3 linked regions of the Arabidopsis thaliana genome follow. The main gene of each other region encodes a partner of the protein of the gene in region 3 in a complex. Each region holds a gene or a part of one and is shown on either strand. Other genes may lie near its edges.

Evidence for each region.
Region 1: MED9 (region 3) and AT5G19480 share a complex: the UniProt entries of both Arabidopsis thaliana proteins name them as parts of the mediator complex.
Region 2: MED9 (region 3) and SFR6 share a complex: the UniProt entries of both Arabidopsis thaliana proteins name them as parts of the mediator complex.

The regions. Positions count from the first base shown.
Region 1 is NC_003076.8:6,568,103-6,575,782, reverse strand, and holds AT5G19480 (mediator of RNA polymerase II transcription subunit), read right to left. Parts: upstream 4,283-7,680; 5' UTR 3,956-4,282; coding exon 3,928-3,955; intron 3,840-3,927; coding exon 3,547-3,839; intron 3,399-3,546; coding exon 3,195-3,398; intron 3,086-3,194; coding exon 3,026-3,085; intron 2,893-3,025; coding exon 2,854-2,892; 3' UTR 2,160-2,853; downstream 1-2,159. Other genes in the region: AT5G19485 (transferases/nucleotidyltransferase), read left to right, coding at 1-37, 125-344, 431-489, 599-648, 723-810, 899-1,150, 1,237-1,329, 1,408-1,512 and 2 more; AT5G19473 (RPM1-interacting protein 4 (RIN4) family protein), read right to left, coding at 5,103-5,153, 6,009-6,362; NUDT24 (nudix hydrolase homolog 24), read right to left, coding at 7,287-7,501, 7,596-7,680. UniProt on the Arabidopsis thaliana protein: Component of the Mediator complex, a coactivator involved in the regulated transcription of nearly all RNA polymerase II-dependent genes.
Region 2 is NC_003075.7:2,494,453-2,502,589, forward strand, and holds the start of SFR6 (sensitive to freezing 6), read left to right. Parts: upstream 1-3,478; coding exon 3,479-3,816; intron 3,817-3,893; coding exon 3,894-3,962; intron 3,963-4,052; coding exon 4,053-4,141; intron 4,142-4,224; coding exon 4,225-4,337; intron 4,338-4,448; coding exon 4,449-4,550; intron 4,551-4,994; coding exon 4,995-5,085; intron 5,086-5,272; coding exon 5,273-5,869; intron 5,870-6,077; coding exon 6,078-6,696; intron 6,697-6,790; coding exon 6,791-6,870; intron 6,871-7,193; coding exon 7,194-7,276; intron 7,277-7,715; coding exon 7,716-7,952; intron 7,953-8,137. Other genes in the region: NSF (AAA-type ATPase family protein), read right to left, coding at 338-388, 476-557, 638-733, 1,039-1,214. UniProt on the Arabidopsis thaliana protein: Component of the Mediator complex, a coactivator involved in the regulated transcription of nearly all RNA polymerase II-dependent genes.
Region 3 is NC_003070.9:20,550,256-20,556,800, forward strand, and holds MED9 (mediator of RNA polymerase II transcription subunit-like protein), read right to left. Parts: upstream 4,000-6,545; 5' UTR 3,920-3,999; coding exon 3,446-3,919; intron 3,377-3,445; coding exon 3,314-3,376; intron 3,229-3,313; coding exon 3,148-3,228; coding exon of another isoform or gene 3,069-3,147; coding exon 3,010-3,068; intron 2,924-3,009; coding exon 2,866-2,923; 3' UTR 2,650-2,865; downstream 1-2,649. Other genes in the region: AT1G55070 (F-box and associated interaction domains-containing protein), read left to right, coding at 1,197-2,378; AT1G55090 (carbon-nitrogen hydrolase family protein), read left to right, coding at 4,602-4,795, 4,957-5,262, 5,344-5,567, 5,666-5,769, 5,866-6,000, 6,075-6,243, 6,344-6,479. UniProt on the Arabidopsis thaliana protein: Component of the Mediator complex, a coactivator involved in the regulated transcription of nearly all RNA polymerase II-dependent genes.

The DNA of each region.
Region 1 (7,680 bases), on a different chromosome or scaffold from region 3:
GGCAATTGCACACCACTTAACTGCCAAAGACATTTTGGTTAGCTTTTCAATAAAGACGTCTCGTAGCTTTTGCTTTGTGCAACTTTTTGAGCTTCTAGTTAACTGGTAATTTGCTTTGACGTAGATCGTAAGTGGAGACATTGTTTCTGATATTCCTCCTGGTGCTGTTGCCGCCACTCATAGAAGGCATGATGCAGCAGTGACTGTTATGCTTTGTGCTCAACCTGTCAGTGGGCCATCAGAATCAGGAGGTTCTGGTGGGAAAGATAAAACCAAAAAACCTGCTTGCGATGATATCATAGGGCTTGATTCCTTGAAACAGTTCTTGTTATACATAGCCAAAGGTCCTACTTTTAATTTTTCTTTATGTTTCTTAGAGGTAACAAAATGCTTGAACTTGTTGTTGGTTTACCTCCTGAAATTGTGTTAGGTACTGAGATTAAGAAAGATACCCGAGTAAAAAAGAGCATTCTCTGTGCGGCTGGCAAGGTAATGTTCTTATTAAGTTTTTGAAATTACCTACAAATGCATCTTTTTATGATTCATATATTACAAATTCTTAGTACAGTTTCTAATTATCTTGTCATTTTCGATTTAGATGGAAATTCGATCAGATCTGATGGATTCTCATATATATGCCTTCAAGAGGTTGGTCAGATCTGCTTTCCTGCTATCAAAGTAGTTTTATCTGTCGATACTCAATATGTTCTTTTGTCTTACAGAGCAGTTCTGCAGGAAGTTTTGGATCAAAAACCTGCTTTTAGGAGCCTAAAACAGGATGTACTACCGTATCTTGTTCGTACACAGCTGGTTAGTCGGATACGGTCCTTGCAAATGACCATTTTTTTTTTATTACCATTTTGATTCCTTATTTGTGCGGTTTCCCCTTGAGTATCAGAGATCAGATGTCTTCTCTGACCAAAGTAATGTAGAAGAAAATGGGAATGGAAATGGAAAAAATAATATGCAGAACAACGAGGTGGTCTTGTCTCAAATTCTCTCCAACGCATCCATGCCAAGCTTTCATCAAGTCTATGAATCAGGTCTGGGTACCCGGAAAACCCATAAATGCTGTGTTTATATAGCGGATGAAAGTAAGTATTTCGTCCGCTTGAATAGCATTCAAGCCTTCATGGACGTAAACAGAGATGTAAGTTGTTTACACATGGGATTCCTTCTCCAGTATTTTTTTCTCAGTTGACTTATGAAGCTCCGCAATTGTTCAAACTTGTGCAGGTTATTGGTGAATCAAACCACCTATCTGGATACTCCTTTTCTGCTCATCACAACATTGTCCACCCATCAGCTGAGCTTGGATCGAAAACCACAGTACGTAACTCTACATGTGTAGATATTGAGCATTTGTTCTGTGAGTTGTGATCGTGAATAACAATTTTTGGGTTGCAGGTTGGACCTCATTGTATGCTTGGAGAAGGCTCTCAAGTCGGTGATAAATGCAGTGTCAAAAGATCTGTAATTGGGAGACATTGCCGGATAGGCTCCAATGTGAAGGTAATAATTAGCTTTTTACTCAAGCCAGCCAAAGAAAGGTGGTGTACATCTCGAAAAGACACTCAACTGCTTGTATATGTGGGTGCAGATTGTTAATTCAGTTGTGATGGACCATGCCACAATTGGAGACGGATGTTCAATACAAGGCTCAGTCATTTGCAGCAACGCACAGCTTCAAGAGCGTGTTACTCTAAGAGACTGCCAAGTACGTTACCCCCTTCAGTTTTCATAATACAGTGTCCCCTACGTATCAATGCTTTTACAGATTCCATAATCAAAACATCAATTGGTTTTATAGGTGGAAGCAGGGTATGTTGTTTGTGCCGGGAGTGAGCACAAAGGAGAGACCTTTGCTAGAAAATGAAAAGGAAGGATAAGCAAATGAGGTCACATCTTGGAACGCTTTTTTAAAATGAAAAGCAGCATTACTTAGTCATTCGTTTGGTAGGAGAGAAGAGTGTGAAGGATTGGAAAGTTTCCCACTAAGGGTTTTGTTGATTAAGAGTTTGAGATTTTCCGTTAGTATCTTTTACTGATAGAGTTTGATCTTTTGCTATTCATTACATATACATGAAGTCTTGAAACACTTTGTCAGCCACTGACCCTTCTCTCTGTTCCGTTGGTTATATTACATATGTCTTTTTTTGTTCTTCTCATTATTTACTCTTTTGTTCGAGATAAAACACTTTCCTGAAAGATCTAAATTTTGTTTTTGGTATTTCCATAGAGACGAATACACCCAAAAAGTCACATGCCTTCAGATTCGATAAATTTCAGAGTAAATGATTTCGAATGTATGAAACCTTTCTGTTTAAATAGTCACGAGAATAGATAAACTTCATAGCTTGTTTAAAGTGTAACAAAATGTACAAGTTGTGATTCTTCTTGGCGAACTTTTCGTTGCTTAACCCCTCCTAACTTCTCCCACAATGCAATTTTTATTTAGAGATTAAACCTGCAAAACCAAATCCAAATCATTTTATGTTATGTTGAGACAAATCTACACCATATAGAAACATTTCTAATTATTTGAGACTCCAAAATAAAGTTAGTGCACTCTCGGTCGCTAGAGTTCCAGGTTATCTTCTTATAAGCCTTAGACAATAATTATTTCTTCATGTTTAAAACAACCATAGCTTTGTTGACTCAATCATATTCATCATGTACAGTACCGTTGGTTATGACAGACGCAGCCCCATATGAGAAACGTGCGTTATCTAAAGATGAGAAGATGACTCTAGTGACCGAGTTACCTAACAAAGTTAGCTGCTTCTAAGCCTCTCCATGACACCTTGGGTGTGCAATACAAAAATGAAAGTGTGCACGGCTTCAGCCTCCAACCTACATCGCTCCCATCTCATCAAGCTTTGAGCTCTTATGCTGCAAAAAAGTTAATTTTAGGGCCGACAAAAATAAAATTTGCAGAGCAACACCAATGTGCGAGTAACCAGAAACTTCTAAATTCAGCTTCACTAAAAAGAAGGAGATGCCTCCATTGCCATTAGTATATTACCTTACTCTTTTTGTGCCTCTGAACGTCATCAGCATCTTCAGTCCCATTGTTCTTCCTTTTCTGAAAGTAAAGTGATAGCGTATACCACGTCAATTCTATCGAATTTAAGAATCCAAAATATACATATATAGACGGCCTAGGTACCAACAAGAGCAGACAGTTTTATAACCTTATCATGGTGTCCACTTTTTTCCTTCTTTTTGTCTCGATCCTTGTCTTTATCCTTATCTTTGATCCTATCTTTATGCTTGTGCTTGTGCTTCTTATGTTCCCTATCTTTCTCCTTCTTGTCTTTATGTTTTCTATGTTTCCTATCCTTATCTTTTGACTCACTTTTTGATTTTGATACAGTGGTAGGAGCTCCCTTCTCTGCCTGAAATAAGAACAGGAGATCTCATATTCTCAAACCTAGCTCAACTATCATCACAAGATACTTGGAAGTAATTCAACTTATCATGGTTAGTAAAAGATCTAGATGTTACAGGAAGTTAAAATCTAAACAGAGAGAGCAATATTCTTACTGGAGGCAATTCAACAGGAGCTGTATCATTAAGCTCAAAAGCCTCCTTAAGTTCATCAAGAACAAAAGGTTGGATGCGAGCATTCGTATCTCGGCTACTAAGTGATGCATTAGGAATAAGCTGATCTAATTGCATTCCTTCTCCTTTTCTAATCTCTGTGTCTCCAACCAAATTATGAAGATAATGAGCATCTGACAGTGACTCTGGAAGTGATCTCTTGCAAAAGAATTCATGGTGTGGCAACAACTTGTATTGTGTTATAAGATCTAGTGCACCACCCAATTCTCTAGGACCTGCACTTAGAAACCCAGAAGCTCATTGACCCTCAAATCCCAAAATAATAAAACTTGACAAAAATCAAAGCTTGGAAACCAAATTTACCTCCAAACTTAACGCTCTCTGATTCCATATTTTTTTGTTGTTGTTGATTAAACTGCAATTATTGGAATTTGAAAACCAAACAAGCCAAAGCTCAATAAGCTCAAGATTTGACGAAAAGCGAAAACAAAGCTGAAGCAAAGATCAATCACCGCCATACATGACTTCACGAGGCAGATCTCATCGCAACCCAGAGATATAAACCCTAATCTGGAAAACGGATTGCTCTTGGTCGTGAATTTCCCGCGGGAATATCGAGGAACGTTCGAGAAGGAAGTAACTAGGGTTTGAGAATGGATTAGGAGTTTCCTCAAACAATGGCGTTATAAAATCGCGATTTCTTTTTCTTCTTCTTCTGTTTTTTTTTCGTCCAAAATTTTGTTATTTATACGGGTTACCGCGTGGGGTTCACGCGCTTCATAGTGCGTATGATCAACTTTACAGATTTCACAACGACTTTTTTTACATTTGTATTTTTATTTTAATAAAAATTTCAATTTTCTTATAATTTGCATTTTTAATCACATAGTTAAAAAAAAAAAAAAATGCTAATATAGCCGTCAAATAATTTTTGTTGCAATCGTCAATAGCCACCGATTAAGACGGTGGTCAACTTGTTAGTGGATATGGCCACGATTAGGTGGTGGCACTCAGTTGCAAGATAGCCACTGTTTTTCATATGGTCATATGTATGTGTATTTGTGGCCAAATAATTAAGACCAATTTGCTAAGGCCAAAAAGTGATTCGTTTAGTCATTGCTATTGTTCGGATCCTTTATATTGAAGTTGGAGAATGATTAACCAAAGCTAAAATCACCCAAATGGCCAAATCGTACCAGCAATCAATGCATGATTTCTTAACTCTTGTTTCTAAAACTATGATCATCCGACAATTCTCAATTTATCGAAGATTAGTTAAATGGATTCTGCATCTGACGGTTTGGTTAAGTCATGTTTTATTTTGTTCTCGTATGATGTAGGAAGAAGTCAAAATGTATCACAACACAACACAACCAGGGGTATCTTAATAGATGATGCACATAGAACAGAACGTTTTTTTTTTTTGTGTGTGATAAAGAAGATTACAGAAACGTTACACTACTGTCTTTACACACTTGAGACATATTTGCTATATCGCTGAAGAGAGAAAGATTCCGACTTTGTAGAAGAACAAAGCCCTAGTTTGGCCTTATACAACAATTAATGTAGGTCAAGATCCTCTTCTTCTTCTGCATGGTAATTAAATTAGTAATGTTAGAGAGACTTATGACGGTGACAACATGCTTCCTCTTAATACATTTCACATATTGCATAATGCTTCGTATAACAAGGTGATTTCGACTGTTATACAAACTAGAGATGGAGTTTTCATATTCGCTCTAGAAAAGCAGTGTACATTTCGTTCATGTTTGCCTCTTCAAAGTTTGGAGGCTCCAAGCAAAACAAATTTATGTAACTCCCAACATATAGTTAAAACATAATGCAAAGATTATAATATGATTCAGACTTTTAGTTGGTTTAATTATATTTTTATCTAACAATAGAAGTAATGAAATTTAGCTTAGGTGGGAATATAATGTTAAAATATGGTTGCTTATTGAAATGTTATGGAAAAAATGCAAAAAAAAAAACAAAGTTTTCCTAACAAATAAAAAGAAAGTAGAAAATGGGAAAATGGAAACGAACTATAAATTCATTGTTCGAACAAAACACATCATTTCAAAACCATGGAAACAAACTGCAAGCCAATACACTATAACATCAAATTTAAAGATACACTATCATTACATATTCATAAATGAGACCTGATACTATGATGCATGTATTAACTCATAATTAAGTTGAATAACATTCATGGTTCAATTATGTCTCTGAGTTAAGAAAGAAATGGAATGAAATATTCTTTTTAGGCGCATGCAAAAACACAAAACAAACAAAAGACGCAAAGAGAAAATCAATTCCTGAATTGTTATACCACCTTGTGATGATCCATGCGCGTTGACTAAGGGGAAAAGGATCATCACAAGGTGAATATGAACCAAAGAATCCATGGAAGAGTAAGTAGAGAGAGATAATTTAATTACCATGACAGGGTCATCGTCTTGAGTTTCATGGCGATGGTGAAGTTGTTGGTGGTTGCGACGAACACTTACCATGAGTTCTTGTTCGCTTCCCAAACTAGAATGTCTTACACCAGCTTTGTTCTGCTTCCTGTTTGCGCGAGCTTTAGAAAAGACAACCGAGTAGTTTGTAGCATCATTTGGTCCTTTTTGGTCCCACCCTCCGAACTGTGGAACTGGAGTCCATGCAGCATTCTGTATCCAAGAATAAAACTCGTTAGATAAACATATAATTTGCTTAGGGAACCAAATATTTCCGGAAAAAAAAAAAAGAACAATGAGATCGATGTTGAGATTGCATCGGTTAATTTTCCCCATTCTATAAAACGCGCATTAACCGATGAAAGCTCAACATGTCTCGATTGTAACTCAGACATCATAAAGATCGATGATTTAGTAATAGTTGGATAAAAGAAAAGAAACAAGATTTTATAAAAAAATTAGAGAGCATGCCTCCCTTCTTTTATCCATAAATAGATATTGCTTGGTTTAGAAGAAAGATGTTCTTAAACATTGATGAAGGTGTTCATGACGAGGAGGAGAACGATCTCTCTTGTAAAATTCCACTTTTTCCTTTATAGTACAAATTGTTTGAAATCACGATTTCATAGGAGCAGATTTAGGAGGTTTCTAAACTTGGAGGATCTCAAGCAATGGTGTTCCTTTATGTCCGGGGGATTTTTTAATACTAACTTTTGGCATCCTATTGGAAAAGGCTGTTAGGGGTCATGAAGACTTCTAAGCAAGTAGAAAGTTGTTGAGGTTGAAATGTCAATCTTAGTGTACTTTCATCATATCGTTACAAGAATTCGAATGGATAACGATGAAAATAATTAGTGTTTGCTTCACACAATTGGATTAGCTTTCTGATGCTAAAAATCAATAACTCTGTTTGAAGAGAACAATTAAATTGTGAACTTGTTTTGCTCATTTGTATAAATGAAGTTTTATAACTTCCTTGATTGGTATATATATGTTCATGAAGGCACATGAAGACTCTGAATATTATATACATGCATGAGTCTTATTACATAGTCAGAGTATCTAATATTAATTTATTAGAGAGTGAGCTTTTTCTTTAAAACATTAGATAGAAAGTAACGTCCTTATGAGCAATCTCCATTCCTCAGGCGTCGGTATAGATCCAAGTAACCCGGTGACTCTGGTCTGATTAACCTGCATAGACAAAATGGAACAGAATGTATTGCCAAAGGGAATTGGAGATTGCTCATAAGGATGTTACTATCCGCGGCGAGAGCATAAAAGTCCCGCAATATATAATGGTAAGTAACATGTTTCTTCTGAGGTAGAAATTTTGGGAGAAAAGAGTGAGTACCCGTGCCGAAACAAGAAGTCAATAATGACCAGGGAACAACTGTCCTTAAAAAAACTAGTCTTCCGAACCACATTAGCAACTTGAGCGACTGGAATCAACCTGAAGCTGTCAACTTCTCCATCTGCAATGTAATTAAGATTACTATGCTATGACAAAGTATATCTACCTGTCTATCTGAGCAAGATTACTGATTGCTTTACTAGTTATTGCCTAACCTTGATTTGTGGGAACAAAATCTTGAGGGAGTTCCAAATCATAACAAAACAGCACATCACGTGTGAAACAGTACCGATCGATATC
Region 2 (8,137 bases), on a different chromosome or scaffold from region 3:
CATGAGTAAATATCTGTAAGCATAATATTACAGGATTTGCAGAATGGTCACCAAATGCATTCACTGAAAACCAATGCTTCAGCAGAAAAATAAGGTAAATGACAAGATCCATGTACACATTGCTACAAATGGAAACTATATAAAACAGATTAGCTCGTATAGTTTCCATTTCCCATATAAAACAAATGGAAACCAATGCGTGCCTTATCTGTTTAGAAACCACAGTACTCTCATTTTGCCTCTCAGATGCATGCTTAAACCACAGCACGAGATGCATGTATCTTTGAAAACCAAACATCTAACAATAACAGAGACAGCAGAACAAGAATATCTCTACCTGGTTGGTGTATTTCCTCTTAAGCTGGGTCGAAAGGAGAGCAGCATCAACCTGTAAAGTAATATTGTACAGAGAAGTTGAGTTCAATCACAAAGCCTACAAATATCTCAAGAAACACATCATAGACATCAAACAAACCTGCTCGCTTTTAGTTCCTTTCTTCACAAATTCCAACTCCAGCGTCAGCATAGCCAGATCAAAATTTTCAGGAGGAACAAATCTGCAAGAACAAGACAATATTCAGAAACCAAAAACGTATTCATGCCAGAAAATTAATATAAAAACAAGCTGTATAATCACCTGCTAACAGATACCATATCACCAGTCGAAACTCTAGCGTGTCGCCTTTGAATAGCATTGAGAGCAATATTTCCATCACGGATGCTTCCATGTCCAGTAATCACCAGTTAAGTTCACAAAAATCGAAATAAATGACACAATGAACAAGTTCAACATTGTCACCGACCAAAGGAGCCTAGATTTCTATAATCCATGAAAACCAGAAAAACCTAACTTGTACTACGATCATAGATCAATCAATCATTATAAGAACCATTCATAAGGCCGAGATTCAAATTCGAAGATCGATTTTGGTAAATTTAGCAGTAATTAGCCATATCACATAAACAATCAACTCCTAGGATCGCATTTCGCATTGCAATGTAAGAAATGAATCGTAAAATGGAAATAAGAAAGGATATCAGAGAGAAAGAATGAAGCTATCGGCAACGTTGGCGAGGAAGAGATCGGAACCGGGAACGGAGAATTGACGGAGATCGGAAGAAGAGCAGTAAGCGAGGTTAGTAAAAGCTAGATCTGCGGACGGAGTATTGGTCACAGTCATCGTCATGACTTGCGATCCGTAACGACCCGCCATGGCTGGGGTTTCGATCTCAGGTTTCTTCGAGTCTTTTTGATTTTTGTAACCTTAACGAATAAGAAAATATTTGAGGGAGAAGCAATAAACAGAAGACTACGATTGCTTCCTTGATTTTAATAAGATCTTTTATTTTTCGAGTCCTGATCAATGTTTTGGAAACCAGACCAAACATTCCGGTTCGACCAATAGCCGTCTGAATTAAACCAAAAAGCGGTAAATTAAATCTGGTCATACCCTCTCGGCTCGGTATTAGAATCCGGTTTGCAACACAAATCATAATTCATTTTTTTTGTTGTTCTTTTCTTATTTTTTTTTTTTTTTTTCAGTCTAAATTTTAGAATACTTGCTCACTGATTATTTTGAGCAAGTCATGCATGAGACACATCCTCACAATTCAATTTGAGTTCGGATTAACCACATTTATTTATTTTTCAACAAATAGTTCAAAACTTCAATCGATGATCAATTATGTGAAACTAGAAGGTCAACACATAAAAGCTCAAAAGATCTTGGACTGTCACAGAGCAATGATAGATGATGGATGCTAATGAATGGAATAAACACAATGAGAAGGAAGATGAGGCAAAACAACCTTCACATAGGGAGATTTTTAAATTGAACAACTAGCTCAAGTAAACTTATAAGTAATGTTGTAAACATGGAATGAATAAGTTTGAAATTTGGTGCATTCTTAGATATGAGAAGGTGGTTAAAAGGGTATGGTGCAAAGACATATCCATCCCTAGTATTTAATAGATTGAAAGAAGGAATTTTTTTTTGGTTCTAGTTTAATGAGTGAAAATGAAAAAATAAATAAAAAGGCAAATGAAGATGAAGATGAACTCAAACTTTTGACTCTCTAATGTAATCTTATAAGCAAATAACCAACTTTTCTACTGAAAGTTATAAGAAAATGAGGCAAAAGTTTTATTTATATTAGGGAATTTAATGAAAAAAACCCTCAACTTTGGCCAGATCCATTTTTAAACCCTAAACTATGTTTTTAGTAAAACAAACCCTGAACTAAAACCTGTTAATAAACTTAACCCCACAGTAATTAAACAACGTTTAGGGTTAAGTTTATTAACAGGTTTTAGTTCAGGGTTTGTTTTACTAAAAACATAGTTTAGGGTTTAAAAATGGATCTGGCCAAAGTTGAGGTTTTTTTTCATTAAATTCCCTTTATATTAATTGAAGCCGCAAGCATGAGCTTGACCCGTTTGTGCTCATGGATGGCTCTGCTTGTATCTAGTTAGAAGCCGAAACAACTAGTTTTCAGTACGCTATGCATGTAACTCAAAGAATTTGGTGTAAGCAATAAGTGATTCTCATTCTTGGTCGTGCTACATTGAGGGAGATACAACAACCATGGGAAACACTTATGCCTAAGCCTAACTTTTGATTTGGGAGGAGGCAAATGAACTAATGCCTAAGCCTAATATTTTGCACAACTCTACTCGCGTGGCACCTCTTATCATCTTCAAATTGGTGGATCGTGAGCTTCGCAACCTAATCACTTCTCGACGACATCGCAAGCGTTGGCAGCGGCTAATGCTTTTATGGATTCGTTAAACACACCTAAATCTTTTCTAATTCTATTGTAGCCTTGTTTTTATTTTTTTTGCCTTGGTTACTTTTCTATAGGTTGTACGTTCTTGTATTTTCTGAACTCTCATTGTAATGATATTAACAAATTTAGCAAAAAAAAAAAAAAACTAATGTCAAACAAGGATCCTCAAATGCCAAATGTCAAATTAAGTTAGTACCTTTCCATGTTTACAAATTTGAATTTGAAGATGGTAAATTAGAAGAAAAAATGAAATTATGATCATTTTCCTTAATCAAAAGATTCAAAACTATCATTTAAAATTTACTTCTTCATTTTTTGCTCTTAAAAGAAAAAGTAAAAAATTACAAAAAGAGGGGAAAAAAATTTAGAGAGAAAGTGACCAGACACGACGGCGTTTTTGCATCACTTTCACCGAGATTTTTTTTCTGCATCCCGGCGACGAGACTGTGACTCCACCAAACCCTAAAATCAAAATTGCATTTTTTGTTCGATTTTGATTTTGTGGGGATTTTGGAATTTTCCCCGCACTAAGTCGTCTCGTTAACCCCACTTAACAGTTTCTCACTTTGACACTTTCTCTCTCTCTCAACGCACAGTGCTTTCTGTCGCCTTCAATCGCGACTTTTTGTCACACTTGCCCTCTTTTCTCCGATTTTTCTATAAATTTAGGGTTTTGTTTGCTTTCGTTGACATGAATCAGCAAAACCCAGAAGAAGAAGTTTCTTTGGTTAATAATAGCGGTGGTGGAGGAATCATCGAAGCTCCAGCTATAGTGGAGGAGAAAGAGGAAGAAGGATTACAGCAGAAGCAGGAAGAGACTATTGAGTCTACCGATCCGATTCTCGTCGTCGTTGAGGAGAAATTGTTAGAGAAATCAGTAGACGGAGAGAAAGAAGACGATAATAGTAGTAGTAGTAACATGGAGATTGATCCTGTGAGTCCGGCTACAGTTTTCTGTGTTAAGCTTAAGCAGCCCAATTCCAATTTGCTTCATAAGATGAGTGTTCCTGAATTGTGCCGTAACTTCAGGTTTGACTCTCTCTCCCATCGGAAAATCTTTAAATTTCATCAATTCCTGTAAAGTTTTCTCCTTTTCTTTGTGTTAGTGCTGTTGCGTGGTGTGGCAAATTGAATGCTATTGCTTGTGCTTCCGAGACCTGTGCCAGGATTCCAAGGTATGGTTTTTGTTACTTTTCTATGTCTTGAATGTATGGGCAGTGATGAATTTCTCAATTTTCATCTTTCTCTGTTCTCATCTCTTGCAGCTCCAAGGCAAATACACCTTTTTGGATACCAATACATATCTTGATACCTGAGCGCCCTACTGAGTGTGCGGTGTTTAATGTTGTGGCAGGTATTTTGATATCAGTTAATTATTTATGAACTCGGTTGATCTAGTGGGTGATAAACGATTATGATGCAATTTTTTATATGTAGACTCTCCTCGTGATTCTGTCCAATTTATCGAATGGTCTCCCACTTCTTGTCCTCGTGCGTTACTCATTGCTAATTTTCATGGACGTATAACTATCTGGACGCAGCCTACTCAGGTTTGTGCTCCTGATCACTGGGATTTACCTTTATATTTCTTCTTTGTCTTCTGTGTCAAGATGTTTTATGACACCCTCAGATGATTTTTTTTTTGTGGATTGGTTTTGCAGGGTTCGGCTAATTTAGTGCACGACGCTACCTCCTGGCAGTGTGAGCATGAATGGCGTCAGGACATTGCTGTTGTTACAAAGTGGCTGACAGGGGCTTCCCCAGTATGTAATCTTATGTTTTGCTTATTTGCCATTCTATCAAATGCACAGCATATTTGTCCCTTAATGAGTTCGTTAAATTAGTAATGGAGGGCTTGCATGTGAGAGTGGGCACTGGGATTACTAAATCGTGAGTAATTGAACTGGAAATGTCTCTACGTTTTGGAGGAAATGAGATGGAGAAAACACAACGTCCTGGAAATCCCAACTCTCTGTTTGCAAAATTACTAGACTCCTAAAAGATCTTCCAATTTGCGTTTCTTAGATGCATTTCTTTAATGATCGGCATGAACACATAAGGAAATGAGTAACAGATAGATAATAATGCCATTGCAAAGAACATGTTCTGAAGGACTTAATATCATGTTGTTTCTGGCCACCTAGTTTGCTGCTCTAGTTTTATCCTAGGAAATTTATCCTCTATGTTTTCTTTTTATTGATAATCAGTATAGGTGGTTGTCCTCCAAGCCAAGTTCTGGTACAAATGCAAAGTCAACTTTCGAGGAGAAATTTCTCTCGCAGAGCTCTGAAAGCTCAGGTTTTCTTCTGCGTGCCTCTTGTGACTCATTTTTTGATGATATATTCAGAATTATGCACTTAATTTTAATTATGTCAGTTCCTTTGACATCCAAATATATGTGACAAGATCAATACAACATGTTCTGACGTTAGTGCATTTTCCTCCACTTTATGTGACGGTTCTGATTCTCTACCATTTGTTGCAGCTCGGTGGCCCAACTTTCTCTGTGTATGCTCTGTTTTCTCATCCGGCTCTGTTCAAATTCATTGGTCCCAGTGGCCTTCTAACCAGGGAAGCACTGCACCAAAGTGGTTTAGTACAAAGAAAGGTCTTTTAGGTGCAGGGCCAAGTGGAATTATGGCTGCTGATGCTATTATAACAGACAGTGGTGCCATGCATGTAGCAGGAGTTCCAATTGTAAACCCTTCAACAATTGTAGTATGGGAGGTGACCCCTGGCCCTGGAAATGGACTCCAGGCGACTCCAAAAATCTCTACAGGCAGTCGTGTGCCACCATCCCTTAGTTCTTCTTCTTGGACAGGTTTTGCTCCTTTAGCTGCGTACTTGTTTAGCTGGCAAGAATACTTAATATCCGAGATAAAGCAAGGGAAGAAGCCCTCAGATCAAGATTCCAGTGATGCTATATCGCTAAGTTGCTCACCGGTTTCCAATTTTTCTGCTTATGTAAGTCCAGAGGCTGCAGCTCAGTCTGCAGCAACCACAACATGGGGATCTGGTGTTACCGCTGTTGCTTTTGATCCAACTCGTGGTGGTTCAGTGATAGCAGTTGTTATAGTTGAAGGTACTGTTCTCATCCTTCTCGGAACCTCATACTGTTTCCATGATTGAATAAACATTTTCAGGTTTACGTTTAGTTTTTGGTCAATCATTTAGAAATGCTCATATATTGAAGAGCTGCCAGATGAGAAAATGCTAATTTTGTTTGAGTGATGAAGCGCAACAGCTTCAATCTATTGTTTAAAATAAATGCTAATTGTTTGTGTCTGCAGGGCAGTACATGTCTCCGTATGATCCAGATGAAGGTCCTTCAATCACAGGCTGGAGAGTACAGCGCTGGGAATCAAGTGTTCAACCTGTTGTACTGCATCAGATATTTGGAAACCCAACTTCAAATTTTGGAGGACAGGTCCCCACGCAAACTGTCTGGGTATCCAGAGTGGATATGAGCATACCACCTACTAAAGATTTTAAGAATCATCAAGTAGCTGCAGCAGGACCAAGTGTGGATGCACCAAAGGAGCCTGATTCTGGTGATGAGAAGGCTAACAAGGTTGTATTTGATCCTTTTGATTTGCCAAGTGATATTCGGACACTTGCACGGATTGTCTATTCTGCTCATGGTGGTGAAATTGCGATTGCTTTTCTTCGTGGTGGAGTTCATATCTTTTCTGGTCCAACTTTTTCACCTGTTGAAAACTATCAAATAAATGTTGGATCTGCAATTGCTGCACCCGCATTTTCACCAACAAGCTGTTGTTCGGCTTCTGTATGGCATGATGCTGCTAAGGACTGCGCAATGTTGAAAATCATCCGTGTTCTTCCTCCTGCTCTTCCGCGTAACCAATCAAAGGTTGATCAATCAACATGGGAGCGGGCGATCGCTGAGAGGTATGTAATCTCTGGTATATATTTTCTAGCTTGTCTGCTTGCAAAGGAACTTATATTGTGACTTGAGATATGAATCTGCATTCTTTCTTAACAGATTCTGGTGGAGTCTTTTGGTCGGAGTTGATTGGTGGGATGCAGTTGGCTGCACACAGAGTGCTGCAGAGGATGGGATAGGTATACTTTAGTGCTAAGTTTCTTGATTTAAGTGTTATTTAATATCTGCAGTTGGATTTTTTTGGGTCTTTAGTTGTGGAACAACCACTGGAATTAGTTTTGCTTAGAAATATGACAGTTTGTATTTTAGTTTGGGAATAAGTTCTAGTTTTTAAAGGCTGAGTGTCATTCAAAGAACCTTTTCTCTGTTTTTCTATTTTGCTTTTATACTAAGGTTTGAATGATAGAAACTTTGAATGATAGTGGTTCAAATATTATATTGTATTGTTTGAATAATATACTGCTTAAAGCATTGGATGATGTATTTCTTTTTATGATTACAGTTTCATTGAACAGCGTGATTGCTGTCATGGATGCTGATTTTCACTCCCTTCCTTCAACACAGCACAGACAACAATATGGCCCTGTATGTTTTTACTCAACCCGAATCCAACTCATTATCTTTTTCCTTTTTAAATGTCTGAACTGTTTGCGTTGCGGTACCGTTTATTATGTCTTTGCAAAATATTTATATATATATATATATTTTTTTTTCTGGTTTTATAATGTAAAGCTTCTCTATTCCATGAGCATGCAGAACCTATTTTGTGTTGTTCTTTTATCGGACTATAAGATAGTGTAGCTTTCTCTAATTTAAAAAAAGAAAGAAAAAAGGAACAAACTTCATCTGACTTTAGATTATTTGAGTAGCCAATATACAATGCATCTGATTGACTGATTCTAAGACGCTGAACAAAATCTTGGCAGTCTATTGCCCCCTTGAGATTCTTCGTGTTTTTTTTGCTTTTTTCCTTTTTGGTTGGTTGCGCTTTTTGGTAAAGAACTTGTATTTTTATGGTTTACAGAACCTAGATAGGATCAAATGTCGGTTACTTGAAGGAACCAATGCTCAAGAGGTTCGTGCCATGGTTTTAGATATGCAAGCAAGGTTGTTGTTGGACATGCTTGGAAAAGGTATTGAATCAGCTCTTGTGAATCCTTCGGCGTTGGTTTTTGAGCCATGGCGAGTAGATGGGGAGACAATAACAGGCATCAATCCGGAGGCAATGGCTGTTGATCCTGCTCTTGTTTCCAGTATTCAGGTATCTTGATGCCTTCAAATCTGAGGATAAAGTTGTAGGTTTTCTTTGATGAAAGATGAAAATTCAGGCTCAAACCCTGGGAACGGTTCATGCAGTGTTTTCATTTAAAGAGTAGTTGCTCTTTGCTGATATATCTTAGTTTTTACTTTTAATAATCAGCCAACACATGCTGTATTAGATTTGGT
Region 3 (6,545 bases):
CTTTTTTTCTTGTTATGTTTTAACTTTTGATGGATTCAACTTCAGAGTCTTTTCGATAATAATTCAAAGTACTTTCTTATTTATCTGTTCTATAATCTAAATCTCAACAACAATCACAATAATTTCCGGCTCCTGAAATACTTGATAATGCACAATGCCTTAAACTTGGATGGTTAAATCCTTAAACCATTTTTTCAAATACTCTGTTTTCCTTTTACAAAGAAACTTTTGTCAATATTACTCTGTTTAGTGCTCAGTTGTGTATATTTTTCCTTATTTTTTTAGCTGTTAAGGGTTATTATTGCTTTCGATAAGCAGAGTGATCTTTTTGCACTTGCTCTCGCACATATATACAAGTGCTTCTCTTTATTTTATTTTTATCTAAAATAAGGTGTCAGGAACAAGAAACAAACCTCTTTACAAAACTGAAACATCAGAGCACTGTTTACTTTCCCTTCTACATACTAACAGGTTGTGATGCAGTTGGTTAGTCCACGGAAGACAACTTTCATGTTTGTCATATGAGATAAAACAGAGACGGGTATGTTCTTTCGAACCCCATTGTTGAGTCTAACGAGAATGGTTGATTTTTCCATGGTTACGATACTTTTTTCCGCCATCAAGCTTAATCCAAGGTTACACAACCAACAGAGTAAGCAGCAGTGTTTAACGTCTTCATCAAGCTATATCTTCAAGATAAACCGTTTCCAACAACACGAAAGATGACTAGAGAAAGCCAGCTGAGATGCGATATCAATCTTTAAATTCCATTCACCTCTCTTTTTGGTGTTGATCAGAAGGAATCAAATGTATATATTATTCATATACATATATGTATCTCGAGAACCGCTGGTTATGTTGCATGTGCCAAGAGTATAGAAAAAGTGGTCTTGTAGACAAAGATTTTGACTTTGTTTGATGCAGACAAAACATCGTGGTCTATTGTAATCTTCTTTCTAGGTGGTATAAACATGAAAAAGGACAGCTTCTGATGAGACAAGAGGAGGAAATTACGAAAGGAAGAGGTACAAAATCGATTCTCTTAAATTCCAGCGGACAAAACACAAAGCCTTAAAAGTATCTAGTGGACCTTAGTAAAAGCCCAAATGATGGAGCGTGCTTGATTGAGGCATAGTACATATGTCATCATAAGATGAAGATTTTGAAATCACCAAGCAGAGTCAAAATCTAGGGCAATGACAAAACGTAAGCAGCAGGATACAAAAGAAAACCTAACCCTAACCGTATTTGAATCCAATAAACGATGTTCAAACTCTGGAGGAGAATACTTTGATCGAATCCCTGCAGATTTGGTCATCAAAATCTTATCGAAATTGTCTGCAAAGTCTATGGCCAAGTGTCGTTGTGTATGTAAGCTCTTGTCGTCGATAATTCGACAACCAAATTATAACCAGTTGTTCCCGATCAAGTATCCCGATCCACCGAGGTTCATCTTCACCTTCTTAGGTGGAGGAATGTTATTTTCCTACACTTCAACACAGCCTGAAAATCCAGATGAGAATTCATCTCTTGTAGCCACTGCTCATCATCATACGGATATCCCTAGAGATTTCTCTCAAATCCTTAGCTCTGTCCACGGACTGGTCTGTTATCACCGTAAGATAAAAAATGACACAGTTTTTGTGATTTATAATCCCATCACAGGGCAGTACGTAACCTTACCCATATTGGAAGCACATGCGACAATAAACTATTTCGCCATCGGGTATGATCCAATCAACAAACGGTTCAAGGTATTGTGTGTAACCTCGGTGCATCATGGAACAGGGGAGGAGTTTGATAGTCAGCATCAAGTTCTCACATTCGAGACTGGAAGGAGAAATCTATTTTGGAGGAAGATCCAATGTCGCAGACATTATTATACCCACCGTTATCATAAGGGGATATGCATCAAAGGTGTTTTGTATTATGCAGCAACCTCTATGAAACCTATGTTGGGACCTATGATCGTTTGCTTTGACGTTAGGTCTGAGAAATTTGGTTTTATTACTTGGAAACCTCCCTCTCTGATAAACTACAAGGGTAAATTAGGTTCAATAAATAGTAATGATAACGATTTGGTGTTGTGGGTTTTAGAGCATGGCCAGGAACGTAAATGGTCAAAGCATATCTACGTAAAGCCCCTTCAATGGCCGGAGTTCAATGGAATTGATGTAAACTTTTTAGTTACTAGTAAAGGTGAAGCTGTATTCTGCCCAAATCACTATGATCCACAAGTTCCTTTTTACCTTTATTACTACAATCTCGAGGAGAACATTGTGGTAAGAGTAAGAGTTGAAGTTCCAGAATCTCAAGGTTCTAAACGGGTTTTGTTTCATGCTGTTCCAAACTATCTAGAGAATATGAAGCTTACGTGAGTGTTTTATTGGGTTTTTTTTTTACCTGTTTAAGACTATTATCATGATTTCAAAATAGTGAGTAGGGATAGATTAGAAGTCGGTGTTTTTATTTCTTTTTAAAAGACTAATAGATGTGGCTTCAATGGTGTTTTGTTTTATATTTGGAGGATCATTGTGGAATAATGGTTGAATTTTCCATGGTCGCTACAATGCTTTTTCTACTCTGTTCTGAATCTAAATCACAAAACCACTCACTATGTTCAACAACTACCTGGGCTTATATCGTTTTTGGGTTGAGCTTTCTGTTGCATGTCCCACATACAAAGATTTTGGTTTGGTTTGATGCAGACAAAACACATTATGCATTGTGATCTATTTGTAATCCGAAGAATGAATTTTCTTGAAGAAAACCACATTCTCTTTATTATGTGAATCAAGATTGGTTTATTGATAACAATTATTGGTCTTAAGTAGCTAAACAGTTGCTGAATCAAAATATGAGAAACTAATGCTCCATTGTCACAATCTCTTCAATAGATTTCCTATACTCCACAATCAAATCCCTGACCAGAAGACATTTAACAACAAAAGAGTAAGAGCACGATCACAATCTGATCAGATAAAACATGATACTAACAATCTAGCTAACCTTCTCTGTTGAAGCAATTGCTCACTTTCTTCAACATTTCTCTTTTGGCCATCAACAGTCTATAAAACACAGAGAGAGAGAGAGATCCATAAGAAACAAAAGATTAAACAGAACCAATACAGAGATCCAAAATGTTACCATAGTTTTAGATCCTAGTGATCCTGAAATCGAATTCAGCAACTGTTGACACTTGTCGAAATGGCTATTCAATTCATTCACCTGCAAATCCCACAATTTCAACATCATCCAATAAGAAACCCTAGAAATCTCAAAACCACTTTAAAAGACTTGATTTTTAACAAACCAGGGCGTCAGAATTCTGATCTCGTGTTCCATTTTCGATCACATCAGCTAATTTCTCCACCATCTGCGTCATTAACACGAAATTAGAACCCCCAACGATTCCAATTTCATCAATTTTCTTTGTTTCTCTTACCGGATAGAGATGGAAATGAGAAGCTAAAGACTGATGCTGTTGAGGAGTCTGCACCGGAGTTTGAACCAACTGTTGTTGTTGCTGCGGTGTATGCATCATAGATTGAGGCGTGTGAACCATCGTCTGTTGCGGCGGAGGTGATTGTAACGACTGTGGCTGAAGAGGAGGAGATTGTAACAACCGTTGTTGTTGTTGGAATTGCTGTTGTTGGATGAAGTGTTGCTGTTGTTGGAATTGCTGATATTGTTGCATCTCTTGTTGTTGTTGTGGCTGGAATTGTTGTTGTTGCTGCTGCGTCTGTTGTTGTTGTTGAAGATGAAACTGTTGTTGTTGTTGTTGTTGTTGTTGTTGTTGTAATTGTTGTTGCTGGAGGAATAGTTGCTGGTCATGATTCGTCGGTGTACCGAAGTTACCTTGCGCCTGCACGTTTGGGATCATCGACCAATTACCTCCTCCTCCTGAGAATTGATCCATTTTTTCTCCTTCCGATCTCGCTAATTCTCCTTCTCGTCGCCGTCGTCGTCTATTAAAACTTAAAAGAACGAAGAAGAGACAAAAGTGGGAACTTAAACGATGTCGTGTTTTGACCAAAAAAAAAAAAAAATGATGTCGTGTCATGATAAAACGAAGTTGTTCTCAGTTAAGGTTTTGTTTGTAATTTACAATCGTAAAACGCCGTCGTTTCAGTATCAATCTCTTCTTCTTCTTCTTCCTCTCAAACCGAATGTTCTTCTTGGTCGGTCACAATCTGTTCTGCACGAGCACTGCACAATCACTTGGAGTCTGTGAATTTCACATCTGAAAGAAATACAAACTCCCATAGTTTTCAATTTTCACGATCTCCGAATTTCACGACTTTGATACTTGGTTTCTTTGCACATTCACGTAAGCTCCAATTCTTCCTTCTCTTCTTTTGGCAATTGATTCACATCGAATAGTGTTGCGTTGACGAGTTCTTCGTTACAGATATTGTGTATTATGGCTGTTAAAATTGAATTTGAATTGTTAGTATTAGCAAAGTAATACAAAGTTTGTTCCTTTAACTAATTTAACCAGCTTCTGTTCTCATGAACAAGTTTGTGCCTTAGATAAGTCAGATTTTTTACACTACTTGATGTACAGTAAATTTACTTGTCTTTCTCTTTAGGCGACGAAGATGAGGCTGTTGAAGGTTGCTACGTGTAACTTGAACCAATGGGCCATGGATTTCGAGAGCAACATGAAGAACATCAAGGCTTCGATCGCTGAGGCAAAGGCTGCTGGTGCTGTTATCAGGCTTGGACCCGAGCTCGAGGTCACTGGCTATGGTTGCGAGGATCACTTCTTGGAACTCGACACTGTCACTCATGCGTAAGCTTCTATTTTTAGTTTTCTATTTCGATGATGAATGGCATGAATGACTTGGTACTATCACTTTAGATGATGGAATTAATTTCTTTTTCTTCTGAATTTAGTTATCGGAATCATGTTTAACCGTTTCTTCTTATGTTCATGTGAATATCTTCTTTCAGGTGGGAGTGTTTGAAGGAATTGCTGCTTGGTGATTGGACGGATGATATTTTGTGCAGCATAGGAATGCCTGTGATTAAAGGAGCAGAGCGTTATAACTGCCAGGTTCTCTGTATGAACAGAAGAATCATCATGATTCGACCGAAAATGTGGCTCGCAAACGATGGAAACTATAGGGAGCTACGGTGGTTCACAGCTTGGAAGCAGAGAGAAGAGCTAGAGGAATTTCAGCTCCCCATTGAAATTTCAGAGGCTTTGGAGCAGAAATCAGTCCCTTTTGGTTATGGTTACATCCAGTTTATCGACACGTGAGTTTGGATAAATGCTTCCATTTCAACACTGTCAATGATTTTGTCTGCTTAACTGTATCAGTTATATTTCCTTATCAGGGCTGTTGCAGCTGAAGTCTGTGAGGAACTGTTTAGTCCACTTCCTCCTCATGCCGAGCTCGCATTGAATGGTGTTGAAGTATTTATGAATGCAAGTGGGAGTCATCACCAACTTAGGAAACTAGATATTCGTCTGAATGCTTTTATGGGGGCTACTCATGCTCGTGGTGGGGTGTATATGTACAGTAATCAACAAGGATGCGATGGTAGCCGCTTATACTACGGTATGTTTGACAACCCTTAAAATTATTGAAAGTATCATTTTTGAGTAAATCATATCTACTTTTTTGAGTGAGATTTGTTCATTTGTAACCAAGTGCAGATGGATGTGCATGTATTGTTGTAAACGGGAATGTTGTTGCTCAAGGCTCACAATTCTCGTTGAGAGACGTTGAGGTCATCATTTCACAAGTGGATCTTGATGCGGTATCCCACAGTTACCCTTTGGCTTTACTTTCTTCTGTTTTGTGATATATAAATGAAAAGTTCTTAGGATCATCTTGCTTATTTGTCTTGAGAAAGGTTGCTAGCCTTCGTGGATCTATAAGTAGCTTTCAGGAACAAGCAAGCTGCAAGGTTAAAGTATCTTCAGTAGCTGTGCCCTGTAGACTTACACAGTCCTTCAACCTGAAAATGACACTAAGCAGTCCGAAGAAGGTTCTCCATCCTTGAGTATTTGATGTTAAGTTAACATCTAAAATTTTCCACTCTAATATACATTAGTAATGTAGATCATTTACCACTCTCCACAAGAAGAAATAGCCTTTGGTCCCGCTTGCTGGATGTGGGACTATTTGAGAAGAAGTGGCGCTTCAGGATTTTTGCTTCCTCTTTCTGGCGGAGCAGACAGCTCCTCCGTGGCAGCTATTGTTGGCTGCATGTGCCAACTTGTTGTTAAAGGTACACTGGCGCTTTTTTCTATGTATGTTGAACTGTGTTTTGTCTTGTTGAAATTTCATGATATTGAGTTCTCTCAGAGTATATTTTCTTTCTTGTTTAGAGATTGCAAAGGGAGATGAGCAAGTAAAAGCTGATGCGAACCGAATTGGGAATTATGCTAATGGGCAGTTTCCTACTGATAGCAAAGAGTTTGCCAAACGAATATTTTACACTGTCTTTATGGGTTCTGAAAACAGGTGAATTAGTTAATAAGAGCAAAGAGAATATGATTTTTCGTCACTGTGTGGATTTACAGCAGAGAT